Lepisosteus oculatus: one gene and its partners. The protein of the gene in region 3 purifies or fractionates together with the protein of the main gene of each other region. This does not show direct contact. Links are inferred from orthologs where the notes say so. Each region holds a gene or a part of one and is shown on either strand. Other genes may lie near its edges.

Region 1 (7,703 bases), on a different chromosome or scaffold from region 3:
CCCATTTTATTGTCAAGATACCTATCACAATGTTGCAGTCCTGTAGCAGCACACATATTTATCAACTTAAACATGTACTGTCTACAAAGACAACAGTTTAACTACATGCACTCCATTTCTATCCATATTATACATGTGTTTAATAGGTTATATTAGAATTATGCATATACCTAGAATCAACAGAATATTTATCACTTACAACTGCAAACAGTTTACAGTCAATATTCGGCAAAAGACAATTCCAGATATACTTTGAAGCAGACGCACTGACAGTTATTGATACAATTGACATAGGATGATTAATATTTGTCAGTGGGAGACTGCCACCAGTAGTAGTAGTAAAATACTGCCATTGCTGAATTTTGCATACAGCTCCTATCTAAAAGCTGGTTAAAATTATTGTTCCTGTTCCCGTCTCCAAGAATTGTGATGTCATCTGTTATTCCATTTGTCATGCGAGGAAAACACACAAGTAAGCATTTCATTGTACACGGGTAGATATGAAAATAAACTTGAGCTTGACTTCTACTGGAAACTTAACAGGCTAGCAGGTATATTGGTTCCTTTCCATATTTTTCTTTTAGGTTTGACAATCCTGAGGTTAAATTAACTCATCACATGAGCCCATTCAAATTAATCTTAATTTTGAATATATAATCTATACCTAAAATGTATTTTCCAAAACTATGCATGCATTAAAACAGTGAGAAGTTTCTTTTTTACTCTTATAAAAATAAACAAACATTCTATGTACTCTTTTCCTATTAGACCTGAAGAATACTATAAGTGAAATGAAAACCATTTGCATCCTCTGAATCTAGGTTATATTCATATCATACAAATACACATATTTAGAAAAAGACCGAGACACATACCAAACGGTTCCAAAAACTGATAAAGTTTCTCTCCTACTGCAATAGCTTCCGAGTACTGACGCATGTGGTATAGGACAATGGCTTGATTGTAGTAAAGAATGCTGTTTTCCACATCATCCAAACCGTCCATTTCTTCTACTGCAGCATGAACCTAGGTCAAACAAAGGTGCTTTAATTTAATTTAGGTGCAAAGGAAAGTCTGTTGAAGAGAGGTTTCCTTTCAGCAGGTTACCTGATTTTTCATTGTGGCAAGTGCCTGCTTTAAAGTGTCAGTAGTAGTTTGGCCACTTTTGTAAAATTCAGCAATGGCCTTGTTCATGGCAATTTTGTAGTCATCCTTGTTCCATTCTTGAAGGTGCTCAAGGTGTTTCACGCATTCATCATAACTTCCAGACTAAAAGAAAAAGCAAAAATTGACCGTCAAGCAGAAATCAAATAACAGCGCCGGATAAAAATAAAAAAACGTTGTAAACCTTTTAATTTTATCTACAGAAAAGGTGACACAACTCTCTGAACATGTTCACACCTAAAAGGCAGCCAATAATGAAGCCATCTCAGTATCAGTATAGCACAGAAAATAGTTTAAACATGGAGCAAGTGGAGGTTAACATATTAAACATGACTGCAAACTCATTTAAACAACACACTCAGGGGTGGCCGTGCCTACAGCTCAGTCACAATGCACTTAATATCTTCAGCATCAGTTTATGTTTTCAAATTATGGAAAATTTCACAATACAGCATGTAAAACTAAATCCATGTAACAATCTGTGAAATTATGCTGTTACATCTAAAACATATATCAAGAGAGCAAGAGCACTGAACGTTTATCAAAGTCACTGCAATATGTAAGATTTGTTTCTAATAGTTTTTCCTAAGCCCTTCTTTTACGAATTACACAGTTCTGTCAAATACCACACATTACCGAAAATGCTTGAAAAGCACTGGCGGCGAGTTCTTTTTCCCGATCTGTGATCCCAGAAGAAGCTGAATTGTTCTCGTGTTTTGCCTCATTGCCTTGCTCTATACAAAAAAAAAGACAAAAAGGGTTAATTATGATTAACTTAAAATATTATGCACCGCTAAATAAAAATAAGCTTTAATTTTATCCATGGTTCTGGAACCCCCCTCCCAGCAAATCTACACGGCCATCATGTTCTCAATGTTTTCAGCACTTCATCTGGGCTCTCTCTCACCAAACACCACAGCAGCAACACAGTACAAAGAACAAACTTCTGTTCATGACCTTCATACATTTTCTAACTGCTTTCTCCAAGACAGGTCGCCTAGGAGCCGGTACCTATCCCTTTGCTTAAGATTAAGTTTAGGAACCAGCACATCTGTTCGTTGTCGTTTAAGATATCCCTTAAATAGCTCTTCGCATAAGTGCAAACTTAATTCACATAATTATAGGATTAATCTAAACTCTTAAAAAAAAACTTTAGACGGCGCGGGACCACCGCAGAGCAGTCAGATACGAGAGAAAGACACAAACGTCACCGTCATCTCCACAGCTGTACGCGACATTTTAAAATCTGAGGAAATTGAAAGCATAGCTGTGCCAACGGAGATGCTTCCCGGGTATAAAAAGTTAACCAGTATAAAAAGCGGGTTAACTGTACACACAGAGTATATCCTGAATATCCTGAATAAAAGACCACAGACATTGATATACATAACATAAACTAACAGAAATATGCTTCACTTCATTACTGACTCCACATAAGTCACTATACATCTACCCATCTAGAGAATAGCTGTTCTTTTAAACATAAGTTATTTAAATATTTTATTATCGATAGAGCAAAAAGCTGCTTTTAATACAAAGTCGTAATATATATACCTGTTGTGTTATCTGCCATTTCCTCGGTTTATTTACCCAGTGTGCAGACAGCTGTCTATTACGGATTCTTATTACGTTCTGAGAATGTAACCGTCTCAAAGCTTCAGAGCGCTTATAAGTCTTCAAGTCAAAACGCGTTCCAATTTGCAAACTGTAAATGTCACTTTCCTTTAAATCACAAAATACATTTAGAAAATTTCTTCAAGAGGAATGAGATGCGATTTTACGGTCAGGGAATTTCAAATCACAAATCGCTCTCAGATGTCCGCCATGAAAATTACCCACAAGCGCCCCCGCACTCAGACGCAAGAGATTTACGTCATCAGGTTCGTCTGTCAGCGGAGCGCAACAGCGACGCCTGTCGCCGTGGAGGCCGCTGAAAAGTCTTTCTAATGGTTTAAAGCCAATTAAAAGGCCAATTAAGCATCGAATAACGAAAACACTGTGATCTTGACTCCCCCTCGGTTTGCACGTCTTTGAAGGGGATGTGAATGTATTATTGTGTTTGTTAAATGCATCCTGTAACAGCCAATGCAGCAGACAAAATAGCACTCCAAACTCTTATTTTTTCACAGTACATTTTTTCCTGTCATCAGATAACCCAACTGCCCGTGCAGTTTATTTTTCCCCAGTAGAAACCGTAAAATGTTAAACTGGTATGTGTGCACTCCAAAATGACATGCACAGATTATTCAATGGACTGTAGAGCCTAACATAGTGCTTAGACACTCTGCAGTAACTGAACACTTTTCTTCAGTCCACACTAGTCACACAATCAATTTGTATGTGGCTCAGCCACTCAAGCTAAATAGTGCTCTGATTAATCAACAGAGTCTCTTAATTAGTTCCACAAATGCAGACAATTACAGCTGTTTCAAAATGTAAATGTATGCTTTTCCTTTGTAACATCGTAAAATGAGCTGTTGAAATCGGCAACAAAATATGTTAATGATGTATTTAAAAAAAACAGAAAAATCAATGTCTTTGAAAATAACAATGCAAATACAAACCGTGGAGCCCTAAAACAGAGTAGTACCTCTTCTAGTAATGTGCATGCCTAACAGCACCTCCCAGTTAGCGGCCTCTTCATTTCAGTCATCTATACCAGACGTTGTATCAATACGAATGTCCCTGTATAATCAATCCCTGAATTCTACCAGCAATGACTTAAAAAAGGGCTCATGTTTTTCATCCAGAGTCTGAATAAATCGCAGCTGGGGGCTCTTCTCAGAAGTGCTACTGCAGTGTGCCAGCTCTTGATGAAAGCTTGACTTTCCTCCTAAACGTATGTGAACTAATGAGATGAAAAGTATCTATACAGAGTATAGATAAAGTAGTATACATACATACTGTATAAAGTAGTATACAAAAGCACATATTATACTGTATATTAATTTAAAGATCTCACTGGACATTGTTAAATCGCAACACAATGAAGCTTGGTGTTGTGTGATAAATCAAACCCTAGTCAGACTTGGTGTACCTTCTGGAGAAGATGAGGGCATTTTAGCATTTGCAGCAAAAACAAAGAATTGATCTGCTCCTCGTGAGTTGCAGTTCCTGAAGAGATAATTCAGTTATAAGAATGCATTACTTTATTTTATCCATTGGATGTCAGTATTTGACCATTGGCTCAATCAGCCCCTCTCATCTCCCCAAACTGGCAAAGTGGATTTTAAAAGGAATTCTTCAGACCAGGTCTTAGAACCCCCCGTGTCCACTGGCTTTTATCCAGCTCATCTCTTTATTATAAAATCAAATTTCAGAATTAAGAAATAATGTAATAATTAAACAGTTTTGAGTGTTTTCTGTAACTGCAAGGGATGTTAGAATTAACTCAAATATTTCAATTAATATTAACTAAAAATGTACAGAAATGTGGAAATTAGGGCAGCAAACTTAGGAGCAGTGAGCAGGTGAAAAGGTCTCAATTAGTTCAATTAAGTAACTGATGTCAATTCTATTGGCAAGGACCATGAAGGAAAAAGTAGGCCTCAATCAGTAATTCCCTCCCAGTTTACTGTAATAGTGAGTTTTTCTAAACTTGTCATTCAAATTGGGACAAAAGCATGAAAAATTAACTTGAAAAGCTATGGCCATAAAAAACAAAGCATTAAGTAGGGCCTTAATCTTTTGTTTTATGATTTAATGCAAAAACCTCTCTGTGGTACTGCAGAGCATCTTAAATTTTATGACAGCGTCACATATTATCTTTATTATACTTCACACATCTGATCGCCTCCTGTCTAATGGAGAAATGGCAGAGTCTGAACATCCCAGCTCTGTAAAATCTAAATCACTCCAAGCAGCAGTGCAGCTGCAGACATTGTGAAGCAGATCTGCACCACACAATCAATAACAGGGTGTCATTACACAGATGGGAAAGCTTTGACGCAAATTCTGAATTTCCTACGCAATACATTTCCAGTGCTTTCAGGAGGCAGAAGACAAGTTTCAGGGGGAAAATGTCAATCACTGAACAGTAGATAGTGGAAGATGAGAGGCAGCACAAGATGAAACAGGCCAGAATCAAGGATTGTTATGTAATTTTTGTTAACCAGAAGATGAGATGTGTATGTGTGGGAATAAAAAATGTAAACTGTACAATTTAAAGTATTTATTTCTGAACTAACTTTTAAAATACTTACATATTAGAAGAGATGTAATAGTATTTAATAGCTGGTGTTTCAGATTTTTTATGCTGTTTGATTTTGTTTTAGTCTTATGGGCTGTATTTTTCATTTTCCAGCTGCTTCATAGCTTTTGGTAGCATAGATAACATAGATATTCAGATGCCTGGCTTCCAGACTACACTCAAGTGTGATGTGGTCTAGGGATTTTAAATTGATGGGTATTAAAAATACAACAGATGCTTTTGCTTCCATTTTTAATGCTTCCCAGTATATATTAACTTGATAGACCATTTCCTTTTTGGCAAAATACAGTGACATCAGGAGGTGTGAAAAAGTGATATCCTTACATAATAGTTATTCTTAAAGGTAAGTTTGTTATTTCATGTTCAGGTATAGTTATGTTCTCAGGAGAATGCATTTTAAGTAACACAAAGTTACAGTTATTACGGATTTAAAAAATGTATTACTAGATAACGTTATTTGGGAAGATACAGAACAATTACTCAATTTCTCAAAATAAAAATCATAATATTTTATGTATTAATAGTATTTTGCAACATTGGTTATTTTTCAGGAGCAATGATGTGATGCATTCTGTAAAGTACAGTAGGAACCCTAAACACCAGATGATCTAATTGGGCTGAATGAACTCCCCTCGTTTGTAACCATTATAATGTTCAGAGCTACTAAATTCAAAGGTAAACCTGTACCATACCCGGATTTCTTAAATGTATTCAGTGTTGCTCTATTAGCAAAGCAAACCACTTGTCTTTAACAACGTCAGCACAAATACAAGAAAACATCATTCTGGCATGTTTGTGTTGTGTGGATGATAACAAGGGATTCAATTAACACATAAAATGCGATTCTGTTTCTTATTACTGATGGATTCCATCTCCAGACTTTTTAAAGGTTTACAGCTTTGTGTAAGTGTCGGATTTTCCGTGCAAGAAGTGGAAAAGCAGATTTTTCTTCTGTAAGTTGCGTTGCAAACAGCAGAACAAAATGCCAGAGAACTGAATTTAGCTGAGCAATTAACACATTTCATTTTTTCCCCATTTTCCTCTTAAGGGAGGGGTGCATACTGCATAGGTTGTTTATCCATTAACTTTGTGAGTAGAAATCGCCGTCACGGAGCGTTTTTCAGGACCCCGTGCAGACGGCGGAATCCGGAAGGGAGTGAAACAAACACGGGAAAGACGACTGGGATCGGGGCTGGGAGAAGAACAGGGGGGCGTGTCGGCGGTGCACTGGTGCTGGGGGGGGCGTGGCCAAGGCAAACGAGTCCAAATCCAGGGTGAGCAAAAGTCCAGAGCCGGGTAATCCATCCATCCATGACAGGAGTTAAAAGCCGGAGCGGGATCCGGCGAAGGGTCGGGGGAATAAAAAGGGGTAAAGGGGTAACGGGGCCAAGCGCTCCAAGCCCCGGACCCGTCAAGGGGCTTGCCTCTCCCAGAGCTGAACCTTGAATGGTGGGAGCGTCTGGCTTTTGTAGGGAGGGGCTGGAACAGGGGGCAGGTGCAAAAAAATCAAGAGAAACAAGAAAGAGCCGGAGCGTCCTTAATCGTGACAATCGTTCCATTTGTCAGTAAAAATCCAAAACCTATTTAATCATTGCTTGTAATTTTTGCACTGAATTATTTAATCCCTGCTTAAAATTTGTTGAAGACTGTGATTATCCTTATTACTTATATTTTATGGTTTGAGCTGCCATAGTTAAAAGCTACATCAATCAGCCAGGTTACTTTATATTAGCTGTTAAAGTATGACTTATTCTAATGTACTGTAGCTTTAATGGCATGTTCACAGAACTCTTGAAAATAGAGGCTGTGCCAGTTCGGTTTTCCTTTCGAAAAGTCTGTATAAAGATTCTAGTGACGAGCAGCAATTTGCTCACTCCATACAGTATGATAAATGTCACACTTTTGCAAGAATCTTTTTAAATGAAAAATTGGAACCACTGATTATTTTTTATTATTATTATTATTTTATTATTTGGAATCCCCAGTTGTTGTTTTCTGAGAGCTGTCTCTCGGGAGACACCGCGACTCACAGACACGTTCCCCTGACAGGCCCACCAGCAGACAGGAGGTGCAGCACTGACTGGAGGACAGGCACATCTGCCACTGACGCCACGGCCAGCCTGCAGCCCTCCCATGAGCTACCGTCCGCTGGGACGACTGCTCGGCCAATCCCCGTCCAGCCCTGCCAGCGCCGGTCACGCTCGGCTGGTGGCAAGAATGAGAGTGAGAGTGCCCCCCCGTGGCGAGAGTCAGGGGTTACTGTGTCGGCAACCCCACTGTGGAGGCTGAGAAGCTGCTTCACTGGCCAGGTTGGTGGGGAACTTCAGGA
Region 2 (6,922 bases), on a different chromosome or scaffold from region 3:
TCTCCTGGACCAGGACTAGGAACCTGGTGCAACTATTATATTTGATCTTTTCTCTCCTAATGTATAAAAACCTACACTTGAGGACTTTTTGACACAGCAGACCTATAACATGCTTTAACTGTACTCATAGGTAGCTGTAATGTTCTTCTTCTCATATAACCTTTCTGCTTGAAGAACTCGGAAGCTAAACAGAGGTCATATAGACGCGCTGTTCCCCCAAATATGTGAAAGTTAGTTCCTTACCAAACTGGTATCCCAGTGCGGCCTGTAGTTCCGAAAGAGGTTCTGCATGTCCCTGTGATAACGTGCAGCTGTCCCCACACCGCCAGCGCAGTCCAGATACAGAGCATAATCGTTCAGCCCAGAATCATAGATAATATTAAATGCACGGCCCACCTGCCAAGAAGACAGAAGAAGCTGTTCAACTTTCATCCATCCGCTTCCAACCTCTTGGTCCGCAACATACAGTGGTCACGCTGAGCTGGAACCTAAGCTGGCAGACCATGGGGGCAAGGTGGGATACCCTGCGGTCAGGACACCAGTCCATTGCAGGGCATTCACACACCGGGGGGGGGTCACCATTTATGCTCCACACTGAAGGTACCCCAAACCAGAAATGAACCTAAGACCCCAAGAGTTGTGATGCGGCCTTTCCTTTCAGCAGAAACCTTAAAGCTAAAATAACACCAGCTCATTAAGAATGCGTTTTCTGCGCATCAAGAATCCAGACCTTTGTTTTAAATGGGGCAGATGTTGGAAAATTACACTTTTCTCTTCAGGTGTGCTTCATGCTTCCAATGCTGTATTATTATTCACGGACTATGGAAGAAACTGGGAGACAATACCGCCTGAATGCAGCCCGTGTCACTGCTGTTGTAGAAGTTACATGTCCCATCTTTGCAGCAGTTCCTGTTCAAGTCAGCCCACAGTCTACAGAAAGAAAGCAAACATACACACTTTACACAGAACATTAATCTAGATGTTGATGTCCTCTCCTTTGCTATGCCTGCATTCTGGTTGTGTGAGATTTTTTATTTGTTATGCAGTGGCTAGTACCAGTGACGAAGAGGATCTCTTTGTTGATTGCAGTGGCATGTGAAATTGAAAGGCTCCACCCACAATGCACAGCTGCGATGACCTCACTTCCTGAGCTCAATGATGAGAAAACTGATGCTTACTTTTCTCCAAACAGTCCATGGTAGTACGCAAAGTAGATAAGAGACTGGTAGTTGAGGTCAAAGCTGCTGATTCCATTGCCAACTGCAAATCCCTAGAATGAGGAAAAGAGCAGGAATAGGAAATAAGGAACTAGCTAGAAACTTGTTAGGAGAGCACCCTCCCCCAGAGGTCACATCGTTTGGCAATACCTTCAAATTGATCTTGGCAGAGCTGTTGGCAATCCTGAGGCTCAGGGTGGGTGCGTATATCCCTCCGTAGCTCTCGCCAAATACGTAGAAATCGTTCTTGGTGAAATTGGGAAATTTAGTAAAGAAACTCTGCAGGGCTTTGAAGTTGTTGTCAGCCACCTGTCAGAAGACACGAAGCAGGCAGCTGTGAGCAACAGACTCCATCCTGGAAGCACAGGGTGCACAGCAGGAATACAGTATATATATAAATGTGTACTCAGACACAATAACCAGCTACCCCAGCCAGCAAGTTTTTGAAAGGTGAGAGGAAACTGGAGCGCCCAGCGAAAATCCACACGAGCACAGAGAGAACATGTCCAGAAGTCCCCAGAATTCCCCTGTCCTGCATCGAACCTAGGACCCAGGAGCTAACCCCTGTCCAAGAGCCACAATAATCAGCATTTTGACTTTTACATCATGGACACCGAGAGGGTACTGTTGCGTTTTGGCATCAGGTTCTTTTTATTTACTTAAACTCGGGCTGCACTGACCTCATCGTCGTTGGTTCTGTAGTCCTTATCGTCTGAATAGGAGTAGCCCACACCAGCTGGAGACTCCAGATACAAGACATTGGCAGCTTTATTCCAGCTGTAATCGTTTAGGTACAGCGTGGCTCCGTCATCATTCACCTGCCAGAAAGGATGGGTAAATGAAGCTCAAATGGTAATGTAGAAGAGGAACTGATTTTTAGACCATGTGCTGCACAGGTATGAATTTACACCAGACAACTGTTGCTAGCAATATTGGCTGTTCGGCCAATTTCTACACTTCTCATTGTCTCCTTGCTTTTGTGACTTCTTTTCGTTTTCGGGTTGGATCTATGAAGGCCTGGAACAAAAACCTGGAAGGTGAATTTGTCTCCAAGCTAAATGAAATCTGGAACGACCACAGAACTCTAAGGAAAAAAAAGCGTCCCCTGCGATAATGATCAAGTGCAGAAGACGACCATGAGTTTTGCGGGCAGTTTTGAGCAAGTCTCAGAGGGAGAGCTCAACACTGAGGTAAAAAAAAAATTGCTCACGTGGAAAGGCCCATTCTCTGAGAGAAACCCGTCCAGGGAACTGCAGCCTGGACCACCATTCAACCACAGGACAAGAGGGTCTTTAGCTGGGTCTCCCTGGGATGTCACAAACCTGCAAGGCCAAAACAGGGAGAAAACAGCTATAATCAACACCTCCCTCTTCATTTTTTATCTGAGTGTTATTTTCAGAACTATACTACTACCACTCAGCAATAAAAATATTCACATATTGGGGTACATTTTCAATTTGCAAAGCTAAAAATATAGCGAGAAACAAAGGGGTCTTCACCTGTTGTCCCAGACAGCCCCAGTACATGTGCACACACCACGTTCACTCACGTTGTTTTTATTTAAGCATCAGAAATACAAATAACATATCCTTCATCCAAATCAGGTCAAACAAAATACAAAATAATATCAAAATCTCTCAATTTAACATTTACCTTTAAATGTTTAGCAATAACATTTTGCAAATCTATCCAAAACAATTTTGTGCATATGCATATTAACAAATGTAACAAAGATTCCTTCTCATTATTACAAAATGCACATAAGTCATCTCGCTCGTGTTCAAATCTAGAAAGTGTCAATTTAACAGGATAAAATCTATGAACAATCGTAAATGATATTTCTCTAACTTGATTTGTTAGAGATCAACTGCACTCGTTTCTGAAGATAGTGAACACCTATAAGTCACTGCTCGCCTAAGCACGTAATGAGCTAAATTTAAGTCCTAAAGGGATCATTTTATTTCAAACGATTTCTAAATTACCTGTTTTAACAAATCACCTGCAATTAAAATCACAAATCGGTCCAGGTATTTGGAAATTGGGGATTTCTCAGAGGACAAGGGGATATAACCAGAAAGGAGCCCTTGTTGGAGAGATTCGTGTTATAAATCCTTTCCGAAACTGAGCATCGTTACCTTTTCCGCTCTCGTCCGGTTCAAGAGAACTTTTCTCACCAACAAGTGAACTGACGAGGAAGTTAGAGTAGTGTTCACCGTACGTTGAAAAACGAAATATTGCATCTTCTGCTGTGCCGCGGCTGTCTTACCAGTAGTGCAGGTACTGCCCGGGGCTGGCTTTCAGGTACCCTGACCACTGCCTGAAGTTTGGGGTGAAGGACTGTCCGGGGAGATCGGTCACTTCATCTGGATCATAGACGGACTGAGCGGAGCAGCACAAGGCTGTTAAAACGACCAAGCTGCGGAAGAGCATGTCTATATTGCACTCACACACAGAGAGAGAGAGCTGGAGTGGTTTGGGGGGAATGAGAATCAAGTCTTTCTTTGGATGCAGTTCAATACTAATCAAATTGGTTGGCAGAAACTACCGGCTGTAGTCCTGGAGCTGAAGGGTCACATGACAACCCCCCCCCCAGATCTGTCACGAGTATTGAATCACGTGACTCGGATGACGCAAAAACTACGCGACATATTACGGCTCCTTATACCGGAAGCGAAAGTGACCAAGTAATTTCACAAAAAAACGGGGTATGGTTTGATCTTCAACACACACTCGTACATTTTGCTGCAGCAAAGACGTTTCGTGGGTTTGTCAAACTTCTGAGCGTTTGTGTTGCTAAAAAACATCAAAGCCAGGGAAAGAGGTTGGAACACCGTCCGATTTTTTATTGGATTACACGTCATTGTTCCGTTTGACAACTTCGGTATAGAAACAGATAAACTTGTATTAAGTTTGGTTTCTAGACTTCCTTACAAGGCACACGTTTTGTGCCACACAAGGCGCAAATTGCAGTTTTTCAATCAGTGAAAGCCTCTTTGTGCTTTGCGAGCTCATACACCAATAGGGAACCCTGCCCCATCTCTCTTCCACAATCATAGGCATCACTTTGATTAGGGAACAGGGAATCTCTGATTTAATTATTAAGTGCACTTCGCACCCTTCCATTAAGCCCCGCGTGGGTTATCAGATAACAGGTTCGTGGAGAAGATAAGATCAATGACCTGAGCGACGACTCTTCGGGATCCACTGTCCCAAACCCACCAGCAGATAGAGGACCCCTGAGTGTAACGAGGCTAACGGACTGGGGAAAGGTAATGCAGCTGTGAGTCCCAGTCGTGTCTAACACTCGATCAGAACGCGTTAAAAAAAACGTTAAATGCTTTTTTGTCTTCGTAAATGAACCTTTTAACTTGATAGGAATGCATGGGAATGGTCACCATCGCCCTTGTCAGCCCGGGCACACACGCTAGCAGTTCTCAGGCAAGGGGTGAGGCACAGACCGCGATAAAACGTCACATCGTGATGCCTTTGCTCTTTGGTTCAATGGCTCGGATCACTCACTAACTCGAGAGAAAACGACCATAAACGAACAGGATTCACTTTTTTTCCACCCTCGGCACGTGACCTCCCCGCGAGGCCTGGTGCCGCGGAGAGACGCTCGCGATTTTCAAAAACCCACACCGGCGGCGCGTGCCGCGTTCCGCTCACACCCGAATAAAAGTGCCGAAAATTAAAATCCGCCGTGATGTTGCTAGATGACCTGATGTCGACCGTACCATTATCCCGTGTCTTGGGGGGGGGGGGGACCGGCTGAGGCGCCGCAGCCTCTTTCTAGCCGGAGCGAATTAAGGAGTGGGGAGGGGGGGGTGGTCTGGTCTTAAAAAACATTTTTGGGGAGAGAATAAAAAATGTTTATGGGAAACCTATAATCTGGCGAGTTGTTTGCATGAATATTGATTTTTAACGTGCTGTATTTCGGCGCAGTTTTAATTATTTGTCTTCATTTGTGTAGTTTTTTTTGTTTCCGGAGTTGGTGTGTGTGGGGAGGGGGGAGGGGGGATGATGTTGCAGTGTCGCGAGCTCGATTTCAAGAAGATGGCGCTGTGAGCGCGCGCGAGATGTTGGTCGCCATTTTGTATTGAAAACCAAACCGAACTCGAGAGGGGGCAAACGTTATGTTATTATTTTTGTAACGACTCGGGGAGAGCAAAAATAAAGAAATGACCTTAGGAAAATAAGTGAGGTAAATATGATACCGTACCGGGGTGGGGAGGGGGATAATATACATTTTTGTATTTGTTTTTTTTTTCAGTGAAACGTGTTAGAGCGGAACGTAGGTTTGTCAAACTTCCAGTGTTATCATCAAGGTTTTTAAACCGACACCAAAGTTATCATTTTCTCGCACAGAATTAATATATTTAGATATTTTGTCGTTTTGTACATTTGAAACGATCTTGGGTTGAATACCCGAGCGGCACTTGTAGTGCGATATATTTTGTGCAAAACGAACGGGCTGAGTGAACTGTCTCATTTCACCATCCGTCTGCTAAAATCTTAGAGAAACAAAGGCTTTAAGAAGAGGTGGGGTCCTTTATAGTGTTATTTTCGCTATTTACATCTTTGACTTCACCAATGTCGCCTTTTTTAAAGACGAAGTTTCGAATTTTGTAAATCAGCTTAGGTCGGTCCTTTTGTGAGAAATAAACCCCTTGGTTAGCTATCATAATACAAGATCATATTACTGACGGTTCGGAATATTCTTTCACATTTTAGAGCTGTTTAAACAGCTTGGAACATTAAAAAAATCGTTATGTTTTGAAACATTGGCGACTGATTTTAGAAGCAGATGTATTTTAGCGTTATTGGTTGTAGCTCAGTGCTTGAAGTTCAGTTTGCAGATAGAACTAAGTTGGCCTTTTTACGAAACGGCTTTTTAATGTGTGAGCTATTCACGGTTTAAAAGTTCCTTTAGATGTCTCCCTAACTGGTTGGAAAGAAAGCAGTCCTCATTTTCCTGTTAATATACATCCACGAGTACAGTATGTGCAAGGGAAATAGGAGTACTTTAACGCCGAGTAGCTACTTGTAGGAGCAAGTGTGGTACATATTCGAGGTAGCTGAAAAGCTAGGCACAAAAAAAGCAACTGAAGTTTAAACTTTGCACTACCAAGTAAGTAGTCTGGAGGGGGTTAGCTGAGTTTTCCACTTCATTTATTTCTAACAGAGTCAATCTCTTGTTTCCCTTTTTTGGGGTGGCGGTGCTCTTAATTGGGGAAATTAGTCATTGAGGTTGAGGCTAGAAAACACGGAGCCGGTATTTTCTTGAAAAGAGAAAGCGTTTTAGGTTGGAACTGTTCTAAAGTTTCTTTCAGAGTATTTTTTAGGAGAGGTTCATCTTGGTGCGTGTTAGGTTACTATTTTTTTGACAACACCCTCCCTAACTAGCCGTGTTAAACTTCGGGGTTAGGGGCTGACCTCTTGCTAAAACGAAACCCTTTAGTGCTCGTAGTTCGTACCCTTAAACACAGTAACGGCAGCTGTTTTTAAATTGGGTTCGGTTGTTATTATTTTTGGCCACATTACTGGAATGTTGAGGAAAAATGTTTACACCTTTTCGGCTTGGAATGGTTTGTTGGGGGGTTAGGCCCCGGTTACTTATTGTAAGGTAATGTTTAACGGTCGTTGCATTTTACCAAGCAGTAGAAAAACGCATGAAAAGCACCTCATGTATTTTATACAAAAACATT
Region 3 (7,588 bases):
TTGCAAATAATGGAAAAATGTTCCATTTCTTTATTTGTGGCAAGATAACGGCAGCCAGATCTTGAGCTTCTGCAGCGTCCAATCAAAACAAGGCCAGCGAGCACTCAAGGGCACGGAGGTCTCCTGGTTTTTATTATCCAGTATTACTCAACAGGGCTCAGCTGAATAACATGAAGGCTACAGCAGCACACAGCTACAGTAGACCTGTAAGTGCCAGATGACCCACGAGGGGTCTTAACAAAACGGGTCTTAAGACGCCATCAGCTCACTTGGCAGCGATACTTCAACGTGAGCCGGGGGAACATACGTTGTTTGTTTGTTTGTTTGTTTGTTTGTTTTTTGGAGGTCAGCCGTCCCCCAGCCGCTGGAGTGGAAAAAAAAGAAGAAAGTTTGCCCCCAAAACTATTTAAAAACACAGTAAGTCCGGGCTGACGGCACAACGCAGGAGCCCAGACGCGACCCGCTCGCCGGGGGGGGGGGAGGAGGCAGAAGGCAAGAAGAGCAGAGGAGCAGGGCAGGAAATGCAGAGGGGCGAACGTGAGCGGGGGGGGGGGGGCAGACGGCTGCTCAGGAAGAGCCCTTTCCATCTCCAGCCACCAGGCACGGGTCCGTGCTCCTGCGCGCCTCGGCCAGAAGAGAGACGCAGAGGGAGGGGGGGAGAAGGAGAAACCGGAGGGAGGCGAGCGGAGCCCGACGCTCCGGGCTGAAGGCCAAGAATGTCGGCGCTGCAAGACAGAGGTGCGCGTTCCCACAGGGCCCTCCGGCCAGCACCAGCCGCAGGGCCGGGAGGAGACCTGCGGCCGGACACGGCGGCCACGGCCTCTCTCTCTCTCCTGCCTGCCTGCCTGCCTGCCGCGACTCTCGCTTGAGGAAGTCGCAGCTTTCCAAGCTTTCCCGAATGGGACTTAATCCGGCAATCCCGCAACCCGACGCTTGAACCCGGAACATCCGAGGAAAGACCAAACGGATCAAGAAAGCTTAAAAAAAAAACAGATGTCGCTGCAAAACAGAAGGGGGGGGTTGGGGGAAGATGTAGAAATCCTGCATTACGGTCTCTAATTTGATGGTTCAGAAATACTTAACCCCCTTCTCCGTGTGATGTGGTTCGTTCTGGCAGATGTAAAACTGTACCCCCTCTGCTCTAACTATGATTTTACCACCTCATGACAAACTAATTTTTTCAAATACTTCACTTTGAAAGTCTCAATAGCTCTAAAAACAGAACTCATGACTCATTTCTAAATCACCCAGCTAAGATTTTCATTTCCTCCAAGTGTAGCCCATGTATTCGTTAGCCTGCAAAAACAAAACACTTTCGCATATAGGTAGCAGATGTCTTTAACTTGGGTACAGTCATATCTGCACTACAGGATTTCTGTAGACACAACAGTTAAGATTATGCCAAGAATAAATAAGAAATGAGCAAACAATAAGGACTTCTGGAAGGGAAATGGAATGTTAATGTACTAGCATGTCTATAAAATCAATTTCCGTTGTGAAGAAAGTGTGAGGGTTTGACTATGTGGCCTCAAAATCATCCATCTGGTCACAAGTTTTCTTTCTTTGGAAAATGAGGTACAACTATCACGTAATGCCAGCTGCTTAGTAAGAACTGTATAAAACAAGTCAGTGCAAGAAAGGGAAATTACTCAATGAAAGGACAGATTTAAATGAAATTATATATAACCACAGAAACTGCCTTTACCATGGGGGGAAAAGCACCACACTTAAAACGCGACTGACCAAGAATCAGGTTTCTGAGTGGCAAAGGTTTACCTCCTGGACCAAAACGCAGTGTTCATCCTGTACAACCCAGTCCAACAACATCCAAAGAGACGCTTAACTACTGCACTGCAGCCCCGACACACATCCCTCTAACCCAGAGACACCCCAGCCTAGAGTTTTCCTGCTCGCTCTAAAGGTAGGGCCCACAATATGCAAGCTTTTTGTTTTTGTTTTTTTTTATTTGGTTTCCGGTTTTCAATTACTTTCTCACACTTGGCAAGTCCAGAGTAGTTTCGTATCCCGGCTCAAGGCTACAAGCCCCGGGACCGCGGGTGAGGAAGAGCAGACGGAGCCGGCCGCAGCCTCTCCCGTGTTCAGGAGGCTCGGCATCGCAGACATGCACTCCCGACTGGCGTGTCGGGACAGCAGGCACGCGGGTATCCAGGGAAGTCGCCGCGTCGCTGGGGGCCCACGACAGCCCAGCGAACTCACCCCAAGCCGGTCATCAGCACCGCTCGGTGCACACAGGTGAGGATGCCTAGATCACAAGAGCTCAACCTGCACAGGCTCCTTTGCCAGTACAGCCAACCACAAACCTCAGTGATCTCCACAGTTGAGGAATTAGACAAAAGGATTAAGGACAAGAAAGTCTGAAGGGGGGGGGGGGCTGGGGCTACCACACCTCAATGAGTCCTCAAAAACCATGACTTCCTCTAGCCTCATTGCCCTCCAACGCTTGAGAATCCAAAGATCTGCAAACAGAGGTCCTTGCAAAAGACACATCCCAGTCCCGGGACTGAGCCCAGGAGCAACACTGGGGTTAATACCACAAGGCACCCACTAGTCACACAAAAACAAGCTCGCCCCCACCCTAGAAGCACCCATACAGTAAACCGCTTCAAATCTCCAGCAATTAACAGAAGCAATAGGGCTTCTCAAGGGACTGCAAGGGGAAAAGCCAAGTAGAGCTGGAATGCCCACGAAGGCAGAAGACCCATTTTGTAGTTAAGTCACCCCCTTACCAACGGACAGAGGCATGTGTCCCACCGCTCCGTTTAGGTACCTGAAAGGAAATCATTGTGATCCGTGATAAAGTCACATTCCAGGGCAGACTGGATAGATTTCGGGGTGTTTACAACAGCTTTTGCATTCCTAAAACAAGCGCATCTTGCCACCAATAAACTCTTTGAAAATGTATGACCATTTCATACCACTACAAATGAGGCAGATTTTTAGAAAAGTGTTTCAATTTTCAAATAAAGGCTTCACCTTTCAGCGACAGCCTTCATCCGATCTAATACAATATGTACACATCTGACTTCATTATTTATCTAATAGTTATTTTCTACAGGATTACCTCTGGATAGCTTTGTGCATCTTTAAATGTCATAAAGAAATCTCATGTTGTTGTACCAATGTGAACAGAAACACACACCTGCCAATCTACTTACCAAATCCAGAAGCTTTGACTTGCTTTTTAAAAGTTAAAAATGCCATAGAAAAAAACGTAAAGCTTTCGATTTATAAATCTCAGCACAGGAAATTCATTAACTTCATCTGCTAACCCGCTTGACAACAGTGAACAGTATCAAAACTATAGTTTCATCTTCTTCCATTCTAGACTAAAAGAATTGCTTACATATTCACCAAATATTCCAGCACAGTCCCTGCATGAAACACAGATCATTATTTCACTTAAATGGATTTGTTCACTAATAAGAAATGCATGCATGAATTACACAAACAAATGCAGAAATAAAAGTATTCTGAGATAACAATACCAAAGAAAAATATTAAATATGATAAAACAGGCTCTAATTACAATGATTGAAACAGAAGCTGTCTATAAGCCATATGTAAAGCAGGCTTTAAACACGGGGAGGTGTCAATCAAAATAGCTGACAGTACTGATGCCTGTCAAGAGATAAAGCAGAGCAAATAAGAAAAGAGAGGTTTCTCTTTTAAAGCCAGAACAAAGCCTTTGAAAAAATGCTGAGTGACTGGAACGGTTTAGTGTCGGGTAAAGCACTGGAAAAGCATTCATCTCTCCGTGTGCGTGCCTAGATTTGAAAAATGCAGGAGAAAAAAAAACTCTCCGACGATGTTCAAAACCATGTGCAACCAGTGCTATTTATAATGCACACGACTGAAGGAAGCCCACCCCTGCTGCTATTTAAACCGATTATTATTTTTCGCACCACACTGAGCTAGACACAGACTGCAGGATGGGCACACACAAGTGCAGCAGGAAAGTGAAAGTGTCTCTTGAACCCTCCAGTCAGAACTGGGAGGGCAGGTTAGAACAATGTCACAGGAACACAGTCATATGAAAAACTTCGTAGAGAGAAAGAATCAGTGCAGCTTCCCAGGGTTCAACAAACGCATAAACCACAGTTTTGCCTGCCTCGGTGTCCGTGTGTGTGTAGAGGGGTGGAGAATGACTGCTGAAAAAAAGGACACCGAGACACATTTTGTAAACCATCACGTATAACGTTAAAGGGAAAAAAAAGACTTTTTTTCTTACTTAAATGTGAAAATTTGCAAAATTTGCAAAATTCAAACTGGAGTGAGATACGTTCTTTAAACACGCCCCTGCAGCCAGCTCCTGCTTAAAGATAGCCTTTCACTAAGCGTCCAGCCTGCGACATGCTGGACAAACTGAAAAGACAGACCGCTGACATATTCGGACAAAGCCAGGATCCAGCAGATGGAGGTCTGCACATTGTAGGAAGGAAATTTAAACCCTAATGGCTTCACACCATTCTGATGCAAAGAAATCCAATCGTGGTCCAAAAGGGTCAGTGTGTCAGCAGAATTGCTGGGTGTCTGTAAAGCAGCAGCACCTGAAGAGCTGGGAGGAGCTGTAAAATCGGTCCAGTTCAGCCAGAAACCAGCTGGTTTAGCTCATTAAGAGGCGAGTCGGAATGTGAAGCTGCAGGCACACCGACTCTCCAGGACTGGACACCCCTGATCTAGACCAACCAGAAACAAATACATGGAATCAAGTGAAAAAAATGTTTCTGCAGTTAACTAGCTTGGAATAGTACCAACAAATCAGGTAACAATAACAATAAAAAGAACAACAGACTGGCTGAACATCCCATTATGGAGAAGAAACTCTTATGGTTCACCTTTCCAAGATATCGAACGCTGTGCTTCTTTTCTAAAGAAAGCAATCACTGCACATTTAAACCAAGAACAGAGCATGGTTTCCGTATTTCACTTTAAGAAATCCGTTTCGTTTCCAGGGAAGCGAGATCAAATTTGGCACAGTCTGGAGTTCAACATTACATCACTAGAAAGTGAGGAAGTTACGGAAGGTAAGTCATCTGGCAGCTTCTTTTGAGGTTTTACTTGGGAGTGTCCCCATTATCTCACCATTCCAAATAAGCCCATGTAAAGTAAGAATAATGTAAGGGAGGGCCCCCACCCCCACCCCCACCCGAACACTAAGTTTCCCAAACCCTCCCCAACAACCAGGAGTGTTATCTGTGTGTCTGCGTCTCACATGGCAGCGCCAAGCCCAATGAACCTACTGAGAAACCGTCTCCCCCTACTGCTACTGTTTTCTAGACCTGCCGCTTCCAGGTCACTTATAATAATAATAATAATAATAATAATAATAATAATAATAATAATAATAATTGCTTACACTTATATAGCACTTTTCTGGACACTCCACTCAAAGCACTTTACAGGTCATGGGGATCCCCTCCACCACCCCCAGTGTGCAGCCCCACCTGGATGATGCAACGGCAGCCATAGTGTGCCAGAACGCTCACCACACATCAGCTATTAGTGGGGAGGAGAGCAGAGTGATGAACCCAATAGATGGGGATTATTAGGAGGCCATGATTGGTAAGGGCCAATGGGAAATTTGGCCAGGATGCCGGTACTCTTTTCAAGAAACACCCTGGGATTTTTAATGACTACAGAGAGTCAGGACCTCGGTTTTACGTCTCATCCGAAGGACGGCGCCTGTTTACAGTATAGTGTCCCTGTCACTCTACTGGGGCATTAGGACCCACACGGACCGCAGGGTGAGCGCCCCCTGCTGGCCCCACTAACACCTCTTCCAGCAGCAACCTTAGTTTTTCCCAGGAGGTCTCCCATCCAGGTACTGACCAGGCTCACACCTGCTGAGCTCCAGTGGGCTGCCAGTGGTGAGTTGCAGGGTGATTTGGCTGCTGGCTTATCATCTGATTCACACTCCTGGAGCAACTCGCTCACTGGGTACATCCCGAAACAGTCAACTCCTCCATCGGACCCAGGTGAGAGATTTAATGATCAAGCCAGATCTCACTCTCACCAGCTGTCCAAATAGGTGCCCTGTGTTGTCCAGGCCCATAATAACGCAGGCGCCATTTTCCTCAGCCAGGGTACTGTACAATCCCCACCGTGGGATTTTTTTTGTCTATTTTCAGAAGCACCGATAAAACTCATAAAGTTAAGCTGTTCTCAAAGTACGAACTTGATGCCCTGTTCTTCCCCTTAATAACCTGTGATCCTTTCAACACGGAAATGTGTTCAAGTGCTTTATCTTCCAGAGACAAAACACACAAAGACAGACGAACACCCTGTAACTACGAACAACCCGGCCTGCTTCAGCCTTTCCTTTACCCCTCCACATGCCTTTCTGCGTCCTTGGATGTTTTGTCTGCCTGGTTACACATGGGTCAGAGTGTCTCCAACACCTGGATTCCACTCACCCTTGGCTCTCCGCAAATCAAATTAGTCTGCATGGCTAAATGTGTCCACTGTGTGAAAAGACAAAGGGCGTACAGCTGTCACCTGATATTTGTGTGCAGGGACGCCTAGGGAGCCTGAAACCATGAGGCAAATACAACCTGTTCTTAAAACAGCTTTTCAGAAAAACGGCACTGGGATATAGGAGGCAAGAGATGAATACATTGTTAAGCACAATGCCGGGCTCTGGGAATAAAACCGCAAACCATTTGATGGAATCAACTTTACCGTATCACAAAAGTTGATGTTCATCGACATCAGTATTAATGGGTTAGGAATTTACTTAATTCAAACAGTACTCCTTTTTATTTGATTTAGACTCTATCATCCATCACAGTCAGGGTTACGTGCTCAGTTTTCAGAAAGGGAGTGGATTCAAACGCCATGTCTGCTTCCGTTTTCATAGATATAAATATCCTAATAACCATGCCATATAGTATAATTAAGCATTTCACAACAAGAAATATCCAAAGATTGCACCTTACAAGCACATGGCAAGAGATTTTTGTATTGATCTGGTCCCATCTCATAATGATTTCTAAAACAGCCAAATAAGGTGACAGGTCTTTTTAAAAACCATCCCTCCTGCCACATATCCAAAGACTATAGCAGGCATGAGTGTGATCGTCCAAACTCTCTCCTCTCTCGCTTCTCAGCCACAGTTAAGATGGCTGAGGAACCACAACAGGTGAAAGCTCTACCGATATGGACAGTTGTGTCAACACAACGCCAAAAAACGGAAAACACAAAGGGAAATTTGTTATGGCCGATTGTGCCCCAATACCAAAAAACTCCAATCGTATCGCCTAATGGAACAGATTACCAAGGCAAGCTGTGGAGGCAGAGAAACCAGCATCTTTCTGAATGAAGTCTGATGCTGTGGTAGCACCACTCAAACTGGGACAGAAGGAAAGACCTGTTCTTCCAAACAAATATTACAGACGTCATTCTTAAACCATACAATACTGAACATGGGAAGACCAGAAACAAAAATTACAGATTGCTGGGACTGGTCTGATTCCTACCATCAAAGTGAAAGACTAGAGATTGTTTAAACATCCTTGACACAGCACTGGCATTGCATTTTCTTAGTATGATTGCATTTGACTGGTATTTA
Region 4 (7,645 bases), on a different chromosome or scaffold from region 3:
TAAGATCACCAGCCAACCACAAATATAAAAACAAAAGTTCCAGTCAGATACAAAAACGTTTCACTGAACCAACCAGCACAGAGCTGTGAGGCAGTGTCAGGACAGCTCTGGCAATCCTCACCACTGCAGAGTAACCGGGGGCCAGAGGGCATATTCCCTCATGAGGGTCAGTGTGCTGGACAGCCGTGTCCAGGTGCCTGCAGGTCAGAGTGTGTGGACAAGGGCTGTGATCGAAGAGTAGGACAGGGACAGGTTCAGAGAAACAGCACCACGTCAGAGGACAGGACTGAGTCAAACCTGCACAGGCTAGAAGCAAGCTACTATCCTGCATGAGGTTACAATTACTGCTACCCTTAATGGCAACTCAAGCATTTCTTGTACAGCTTAAATCTTTCTATACTAATGACTAGAGACTACGCACCATTATTCTCACCCTGCTGCATCTGGGCTCATCACTGCCCTGAGACTACTGTTGGTACAACCACAGGCAGTGCTGGTTGGACAGAAAGTGACCTGTCAGAGTGATCCAACAGCAACTGGTTACTGAGCTCAGCCCCAGCAATGACTCACCCAGAAAGGCAAGTGACTCAGCACCTGATTCTCCAGCCCCACAACAGGCACCACACTGGGCCAGGAGATCACTGCCCAGCTCTCCAGCCCCACAACAGGCACCACACTGGGCCAGGAGATCACTGCCCAGCTCTCCAGCCCCACAACAGGCACCACACTGGGCCAGGAGATCACTGCCCAGCTCTCCAGCCCCTCAACAGGCACCACACTGGGCCAGGAGATCACTGCCCAGCTCTCCAGCCCCTCAACAGGCACCACACTGGGCCAGGAGATCACTGCCCAGCTCTCCAGCCCCACATCAGGCACCACACTGGGCCAGGAGATCACTGCCCAGCTCTCCAGCCCCACAACAGGCACCACACTGGGCCAGGAGATCACTGCCCAGCTCTCCAGCCCCTCAACAGGCACCACACTGGGCCAGGAGATCACTGCCCTGCTCTCCAGCCACTCAACAGGCACCACACTGGGCCAGGAGATCACTGCCCAGCTCTCCAGCCCCCCAAGATCTCCAGCAGGCCACCAGACGAATCGCTTCAGCCACAGCCTGAGTCCGTGTGACTGCAGAGAGTCAAGAGTCTCCTCTCCGACAGCAGCTTACCCCTGTGACAGCTCTCCACTGCTGGCCTCACGCCCACAGCAACCCAGGAGAGAGGTTCCCTGCACGTTCATGTAACAAACCGACAACCGAAACTGGAGCCAAGGCACAGCTGACAGAACCACCCAGACTCAGAGAGAGGTTCCAGGGACTGCGATCGCCGTCCCCAATGGGACAGCAAGCTGCTCAAGAGCATCTCAGGATGAGGCCCAGACCTATAGTCCAGCAGGAGTCACCCCAGCTACAGGCTCCCACACCACGGCAGGCAACAGCCACATCCACTCATGGCAGGAGCCACAGACTCTGGGCCACAGACAGGACACCCCAATCCCACTCTGCCCTGAGCCCTGAGCCCTGAGCCACAGACAGGACACCCCACTCCCACTCCTGACAGCCCAGCGCTGCCCTGAGCCACAGACAGGACACCCCACTCCCACTCTGGCCCTGAGCCCTGAGCCACAGACAAGACACCCCACTCCCACTCCCGACAGCCCAGCGCTGCCCTGAGCCACAGACAGGACACCCCACTCCCATTCCCACTCCCACTCCCACTCCTGACAGCCCAGCGCTGCCCTGAGCCACAGACAGGACACCCCACTCCCACTCACACTCCCGACAGCCCAGCGCTGCCCTGAGCCACAGACAGGACACCCCACTCCCATTCCCACTCCCACTCCTGACAGCCCAGCGCTGCCCTGAGCCACAGACAGAACACCCCACTCCCATTCCCACTCCTGACAGCCCAGCGCTGCCCTGAGCCACAGACAGGACACCCCACTCCCATTCCCACTCCTGACAGCCCAGCGCTGCCCTGAGCCACAGACAGTACACCCCACTCCCACTCCCACTCCTGACAGCCCAGCGCTGCCCTGAGCCACAGACAGGACACCCCACTCCCACTCCCACTCCCACTCCTGACAGCCCAGCGCTGCCCTGAGCCACAGACAGGACACTCCACTTCCACTCCTGACAGAACCAGCGCTGCCCTGAGCCAGAGACAGTACACCCCACTCCCGGCTCAGCCCGGTTCTGATCCAAACTCCCCCCCCCCCGACGGGAGCCCGAGAAACAGAGAACAGGACCGCACCGCCCCGCCGCTCAGGCACACCTTGAGGGGACACCTGTCCGTGACAGTGGGCGGGCAGGTCAGCACGGCTCCGCTGCAGCCACGCCACACTCCCACGGCGCCCTACCTACACTCGGTGGCACAGTTACCTGTAGTTCCGATTTCCATTCATGAGGTCTCTGTCCGGTTCCTCGCCGGCTCCTAAATGTCAGGTCCAGGGTCTGAGCTCCAACAGCTCGGTTCCGCTCGGTCCTGTCCGGCCCGGCCCGATCCGCGCTGGTGAGGCCGAGTCCTCCGCGGAGACTCTCCGCCCGGAACACGGGCCCGCTCCCCCGCGGCTCGGTCCGCTGATGGCGGCTTCTTCGCGGCCGGGGACCCCTGCGCCGGCCGCTGTGGACGGGCTCTGCGCCGCTGCTCGCCCGGGGCCCTGCCCTCGGGTCCCGCTGGGTCTCCGCGGCTCCGCCGGGCAGGAGGAGGTCTCCTCGGGGTATTTACCTCTCTCACGTCCCCGACGGGCGGCTCGATTGTCTCCCCGATATTCCGTCGGCGTCTGAGCCGAAAGGCGCAGTTTCTCCCGGCTCCGCGTCCGCACTACCCCCGCCGACAGAGCCCGGCTGCCCCGCCGGTGTTTCCCTGCCCCTGCGGCCGCAGTAGCCCTGCTCCTCACCCGGCAGACCGAGGCGTCGCTCCCCGACGTGCTGCTGGTCCGCTGCCCGGTCTCAGTGATCCTCGCTCGGGGAAATCCTGACAGGAAATACCGTCTCTCTCACTAACTGCAGGAAACACCGTCACTTCCGAGCAAACCATATTATTCATGAGCCGAGGTCTGCATTATTCATGAGAGGTATTAATAATGCACACCCGTGTTCCCCGGCTCCCCACACGGTGTTCCTGCCGGAGCCTGCAGGGGGAGCTCGCCTGCCGTCCGCTGAGCTCAGGGCCGCTGTTAACCCCTCCTGCCCCCGGACACCGGTCTGAAGGGTCGCTCCTGCCCCCGGACACCGGTCTGAAGGGTCGGTCCTGCCCCTGGACACTGGTCTGAGGGGTCGCTCCTGCCCCTGGATGCTGGTCTGAAGGGTCGCTCCTGCCCCCGGACACTGGTCTGAGGGGCCGCTCCTGCCCCTGGACACTGGTCTGATGGGCCGCTCCTGCCCCTGGAGTGTGTCTGAGGGGTCGCTCCTGCCCCTGGATGCTGGTCTGAGGGGTCGCTCCTGCCCCTGGACACTGGTCTGAAGGGTCGCTCCTGCCCCTGGACGCTGGTCTGAGGGGCCGCTCCTGCCCCTGGACACTGGTCTGAGGGGCTGCTCGTGCCCCTGGACGCTGGTCTGAGGGGCTGCTCCTGCCCCTGGACGCTGGTCTGAGAGGTCGCTCCTGCCCCTGGATGCTGGTCTGAGGGGCTGCTCCTGCCCCTGGACACTGGTCTGAGGGGCCGCTCCTGCCCCTGGAGTGTGTCTGCCCACCGGCCAGCTCTGGTGCTGTTTTTACTGCACTGTCTCTCCTGGCTGAGACCCCCTGTTTTCATGACTGTACTGTCCTGGATCGACTGCAAGGACACAGGGACTTGTTTTTTTTACCACAATCAATTCATTTATGTTGTCAGCGCCACAGGAAAAAGTCAAATAACCGATAGAGCTCCGCTAGAATCTGTTTCGCTGTGTCTTTATTAACGTCTCTAGGACCTTCTGTAGTTGTGCCAGTTGAGATCAACAGGCTTTGAATTCTAAATTGTGCATGTTTTAGTTCATCATCATCCCTAAATATGCTTTTAATAGCATAGGTATTTTGAATTGATTTCCTGCCTTTTGAAAATTTGTTCTGTTAATAATTTATTCCAATTAGAAGTATTACTTTATCCTTCTTACCAGAGTCGCAGGGGAGCCAGTCTATCCCAGCAAGCACTGGGCACAGGGCAGGACACACCCTGGATGGGACACCAGTCCACCCATGGCAGTAACACACACTTACCAGGGCCAGCCCATCACAGGACACTCACAGACACACACACACCAGGGCCAGCCCATCACAGGACACACACACACACACACACACACACACACACCAGGGACAGTTTTCCATGTCTCCCACAGGAATGTAGGAGGAAACCCTCATGTACCCAGTGAGAACATGCAAACTCCACACAGACAGCACCCTGGGTCTGCCCTGCGCAGTTTATTTGATTTACTCTTTCCTTTTCCAAGCAGGCCTGATGGATGTGTCCACACTGCCCCTTCAATAGGTGGTGCAATAACATAAGACCCTTTTTCTACACTCAACTATAGAGAGTGTCCAGAGGGGACAACCACGCTGGCATCAAGCTTCAGGTCAAAACAATGTTAAAACAATTTTATACTAGTCCATATAATTAAGCAGGTATATAAAAAGGTGTTTCAGAATGCACTTGGTCATTTGCTACTTGTCTAGTCAAGAGTCATGGTAATGGACACCCAGTGCTCAGACGCAAACCAGTGTGGAGGAGTCCGCCTGGCCCACAGGAGACACGCCTGCCACCACTGTGCTTCATAGTCCACTATTCTGAAGCAGTTCGGCCAGTTAATACAGCGATTACCAACAAGTTATTTTTATCAGCTTTGTTTAGGTTAGAACTGTGTAAAATAATGAAAACTATAGCCAAAACTACATTGTATTAATCTGGAAATGAAGCAGCCGTCACAATCAGAAGCCCCAGGAATTTTGGAGCTTTCACCCTCTCCCCTCTCTAGGGCAGCGTCTGCACCAGTGAGGGATGCCCCTAATGCCCCTCAACCACAGAGCTACCTGGCAGAAACCCCGTGTGGGTGGACAGTGACAGTGCCCATCTGCTACTGTGTGCGCCAGTTAATAATAAACATGAAAAACAATACCTTGCACTCGTATAGAGCTTTTCAGCACGAGGCCCTCCACAGCCTTGGCCTTGGGTTCAAACACAGATGAACTCACGGCCCAGAAAAGGCCTGATATCACTCCCTTTAAACTAAGTGATCACAGTCTTTCAGGATGCATAAAAAATAAAAGCTGAAGTGTCTAAAAATAATGCTAAAGAAAAATTATACAAACACAAGCATAATAAAAACACACATTTTATTCAAAAAATAACCAGAACATTTCACACTATTTAATACTGACCCATGAGAACTAGTTTCCATATTCCCTATCGGTTCTGTTCGGAAGTGCTATATCTGGACTACAGTCCGCAGTGGCATATTGCTGATTCAGCCTGGACTCTGCGCTCGCACACATCCTGGCACCGGTCTGCGACACGGCTCTCGTCTCTCCCCTTCGGCCACTCCCCCATCCCGCACTGACCCCGAGCAGCTGGGGCCCGAGCTGAGGGAGCAGCGAAAGAGATGTCCAAGCTGTGGGCGAAGGAGTGCACAGTGCATCTCTGCATCTCTGCATAGCTGGGTAAGAGGTCAGGGGCTCCCCCGGAGGAGACCAGGTGATACTGCAGGCAGGGCGTCTGTCGCTATTCACCGATGTTCAAACTGAGCAAATTATGCCGTCAGACTAAGAACCACATCTGTGCATTCTGAGAAGTTTTGACAATATTTTAAATCTAAACATAGGCAGGCAGGGTCCTATATTTCATTATTTACATAGTAATTGATGCTACTGAACAAAAAAAAGCACCTGGGGCTTCAGTGAGACACAGGGACCAGTAACAGGGATGGAATTTGTCAAAACCGCTTGGAAAACACGAGTCCTTGTCTGAGGGTCTATACTGGGCCCAGAACACTGTAATTATGAGTCAAGCTGCCCTGGGTCAACATCGTGCACTGCAGCACACCTCCAGCTGCTGGACAACAGACGATGCTCCCTCTCTCTCTAGGGGGCAGCTGCAGCCAAGAGCAACAGCCTGGCTCTCTCTGCCCCCTGCGGGGCGCAATAGAGCTGCCGCGGAGAGGAGAGACTGTCGCTGTGCCAGGGGTCTGGCAGGGCACGCAGAGAGCCCTCGACAGGCGAGACCAGCGTGCGAGGAAGAACAGAGGAGTGTGCGCCGTCAGCGTTGTTGTAACCCGTGTGCCCTGTGGACATGCATAGAAGTGTTGCTCAGCTGTCTTCAGAAGCCAAGCTGCTGCTCGAGAGGACGCTGCCGCGTGGCCTGCGTCTGTGTACAGTCCCACAGCCACCGTGCTCCCGGCTGGTGAATCGCTGCACAAAGCTGAGTGACGACAGAGAAGGAGACTGTGAACGTGGACAGATGAAATGATGGACTTGCTGAAGATGCAGGCCCTGCGAGGTCTTGAACCCACAGCTCAGTTCACATTGGGCTTTCCTCCACAGCTCCACAGAGCTAGCGAGCACACATAGCTCATCCAGGTCTCTGCTGACCTCTCCCTCCTGTGCAGACCGGTTTGTTTGCTCCGGAGCAGCAGGGACAGGCAAATCAGAGGGAGAGTCAGGAGTCCCAGCACCCCAGGTGGGCCCTGGCACCAGTGTGTCCATACGGGCAGCTGCTTCTCCTCGTCCCAGCACTGTGGTAAGGCACTCTCCAATCGACAGCACGCTGACCTACGGCCCTCCCTCCTCTCCCTGCGAACACACAGCCTAGCAGGCCTAAGACAAGCAAGTGCTATTGTACCTTACCTTGGGTAAAAATAAACATTTTAAAACAATAACAAAAGGATAAAAACATAAGGAAAGTTTTTTTCAGTAAAAAAAACTTCCTCAACACGTTGCAGATCTAACTCTACGGGCTGTCTGTGGGAGGCGAGTCCACAGACAGAGGCAGCATGTGTGGGCAGTCAAGGACCTCAGCTCCTTTCCTCAGTATTGCATACATACTCGGAAGTGTAAATATATATACTTCTATATATAATATATATAAAAAAAATAAAATCCCGGAGTCTTAGAAACAGTTTCCTGGTGAGTGCGGAGCCACGTCCAGCTGCTCGCAGCAGTCTGTGCTTCAGGAGGACGGCCCTGGGTTCGGGCCGCTCTGGCTCAGTGAGGTCCGTGAGGTGTGCTGGGAGGGCGCGGCTCAGGCGAAGTACATGGTCCGTAGGGTGTCCTGGTGAACCTGCACGGCTTTGGCCAGGGCCTGGGGGTCCCGACCGTTACTCTGGCCGGAGATGTGGCTTCCCTCCCCACTGCAAGAGAAAGGCAGACCCTGGATCACTGGAGGGCAGAGCACCGCCGAGACAACGGCCTCCAGCTCACTGGAGAGCAGAGCACCATGGCGAGAACGACACCATCACAACGTGCCGGGCTGCTCCCCCCTCACCTGTCGTGCTCCTTGTCCACCAGGTGGTAGCGGGCGCGGAACGCCACCAGCCGCGCGTAGTAGGCGGGCGCAGGGATGGAGACGGAGCGCGTGCAGCGCACATAGGTGTGGCACAGCTGGTAGGTGAGAATCTGCAGTTCATCCGCCGTGAAGCGATTATCGTCCCAGAGGACGTAGTAGTGTGAGGGGCGGC

What was found.
Region 1: the proteins of tnrc6c1 (region 3) and cnot10 purify together in Homo sapiens (co-immunoprecipitation; 3 studies listed by BioGRID and IntAct, with this or other methods). This does not show direct contact. The link is inferred for Lepisosteus oculatus from reciprocal best matches to the Homo sapiens genes TNRC6C and CNOT10.
Region 2: the proteins of tnrc6c1 (region 3) and cnot1 purify together in Homo sapiens (co-immunoprecipitation; 4 studies listed by BioGRID and IntAct, with this or other methods). This does not show direct contact. The link is inferred for Lepisosteus oculatus from reciprocal best matches to the Homo sapiens genes TNRC6C and CNOT1.
Region 4: the proteins of tnrc6c1 (region 3) and protein argonaute-3 purify together in Homo sapiens (affinity purification with mass spectrometry; 3 studies listed by BioGRID and IntAct, with this or other methods). This does not show direct contact. The link is inferred for Lepisosteus oculatus from reciprocal best matches to the Homo sapiens genes TNRC6C and AGO3.

Annotation. Positions count from the first base shown.
Region 1 is NC_090705.1:42,669,293-42,676,995, reverse strand, and holds the start of cnot10 (CCR4-NOT transcription complex subunit 10), read right to left. Parts: upstream 3,006-7,703; 5' UTR 2,738-3,005; coding exon 2,719-2,737; intron 1,899-2,718; coding exon 1,801-1,898; intron 1,270-1,800; coding exon 1,108-1,269; intron 1,027-1,107; coding exon 876-1,026; intron 1-875. UniProt on the Homo sapiens protein: Component of the CCR4-NOT complex which is one of the major cellular mRNA deadenylases and is linked to various cellular processes including bulk mRNA degradation, miRNA-mediated repression, translational repression during translational initiation and general transcription regulation.
Region 2 is NC_090715.1:4,432,251-4,439,172, forward strand, and holds the start of cnot1 (CCR4-NOT transcription complex subunit 1), read left to right. Parts: upstream 1-3,914; 5' UTR 3,915-4,497; intron 4,498-5,231; exon of another isoform or gene 5,232-5,418; intron 5,419-6,922. Other genes in the region: lysosomal protective protein, read right to left, coding at 244-396, 846-930, 1,179-1,270, 1,368-1,526, 1,898-2,035, 2,428-2,539, 3,484-3,647.
Region 3 is NC_090704.1:44,664,910-44,672,497, reverse strand, and holds the start of tnrc6c1 (trinucleotide repeat-containing gene 6C protein), read right to left. Parts: upstream 3,015-7,588; 5' UTR 2,804-3,014; coding exon 2,748-2,803; intron 1-2,747. UniProt on the Homo sapiens protein: Plays a role in RNA-mediated gene silencing by micro-RNAs (miRNAs). Required for miRNA-dependent translational repression of complementary mRNAs by argonaute family proteins.
Region 4 is NC_090706.1:126,515-134,159, forward strand, and holds the start of protein argonaute-3, read right to left. Parts: upstream 3,001-7,645; 5' UTR 2,400-3,000; coding exon 2,381-2,399; intron 1-2,380. Other genes in the region: ago1 (protein argonaute-1), read right to left, coding at 7,210-7,318, 7,453-7,645.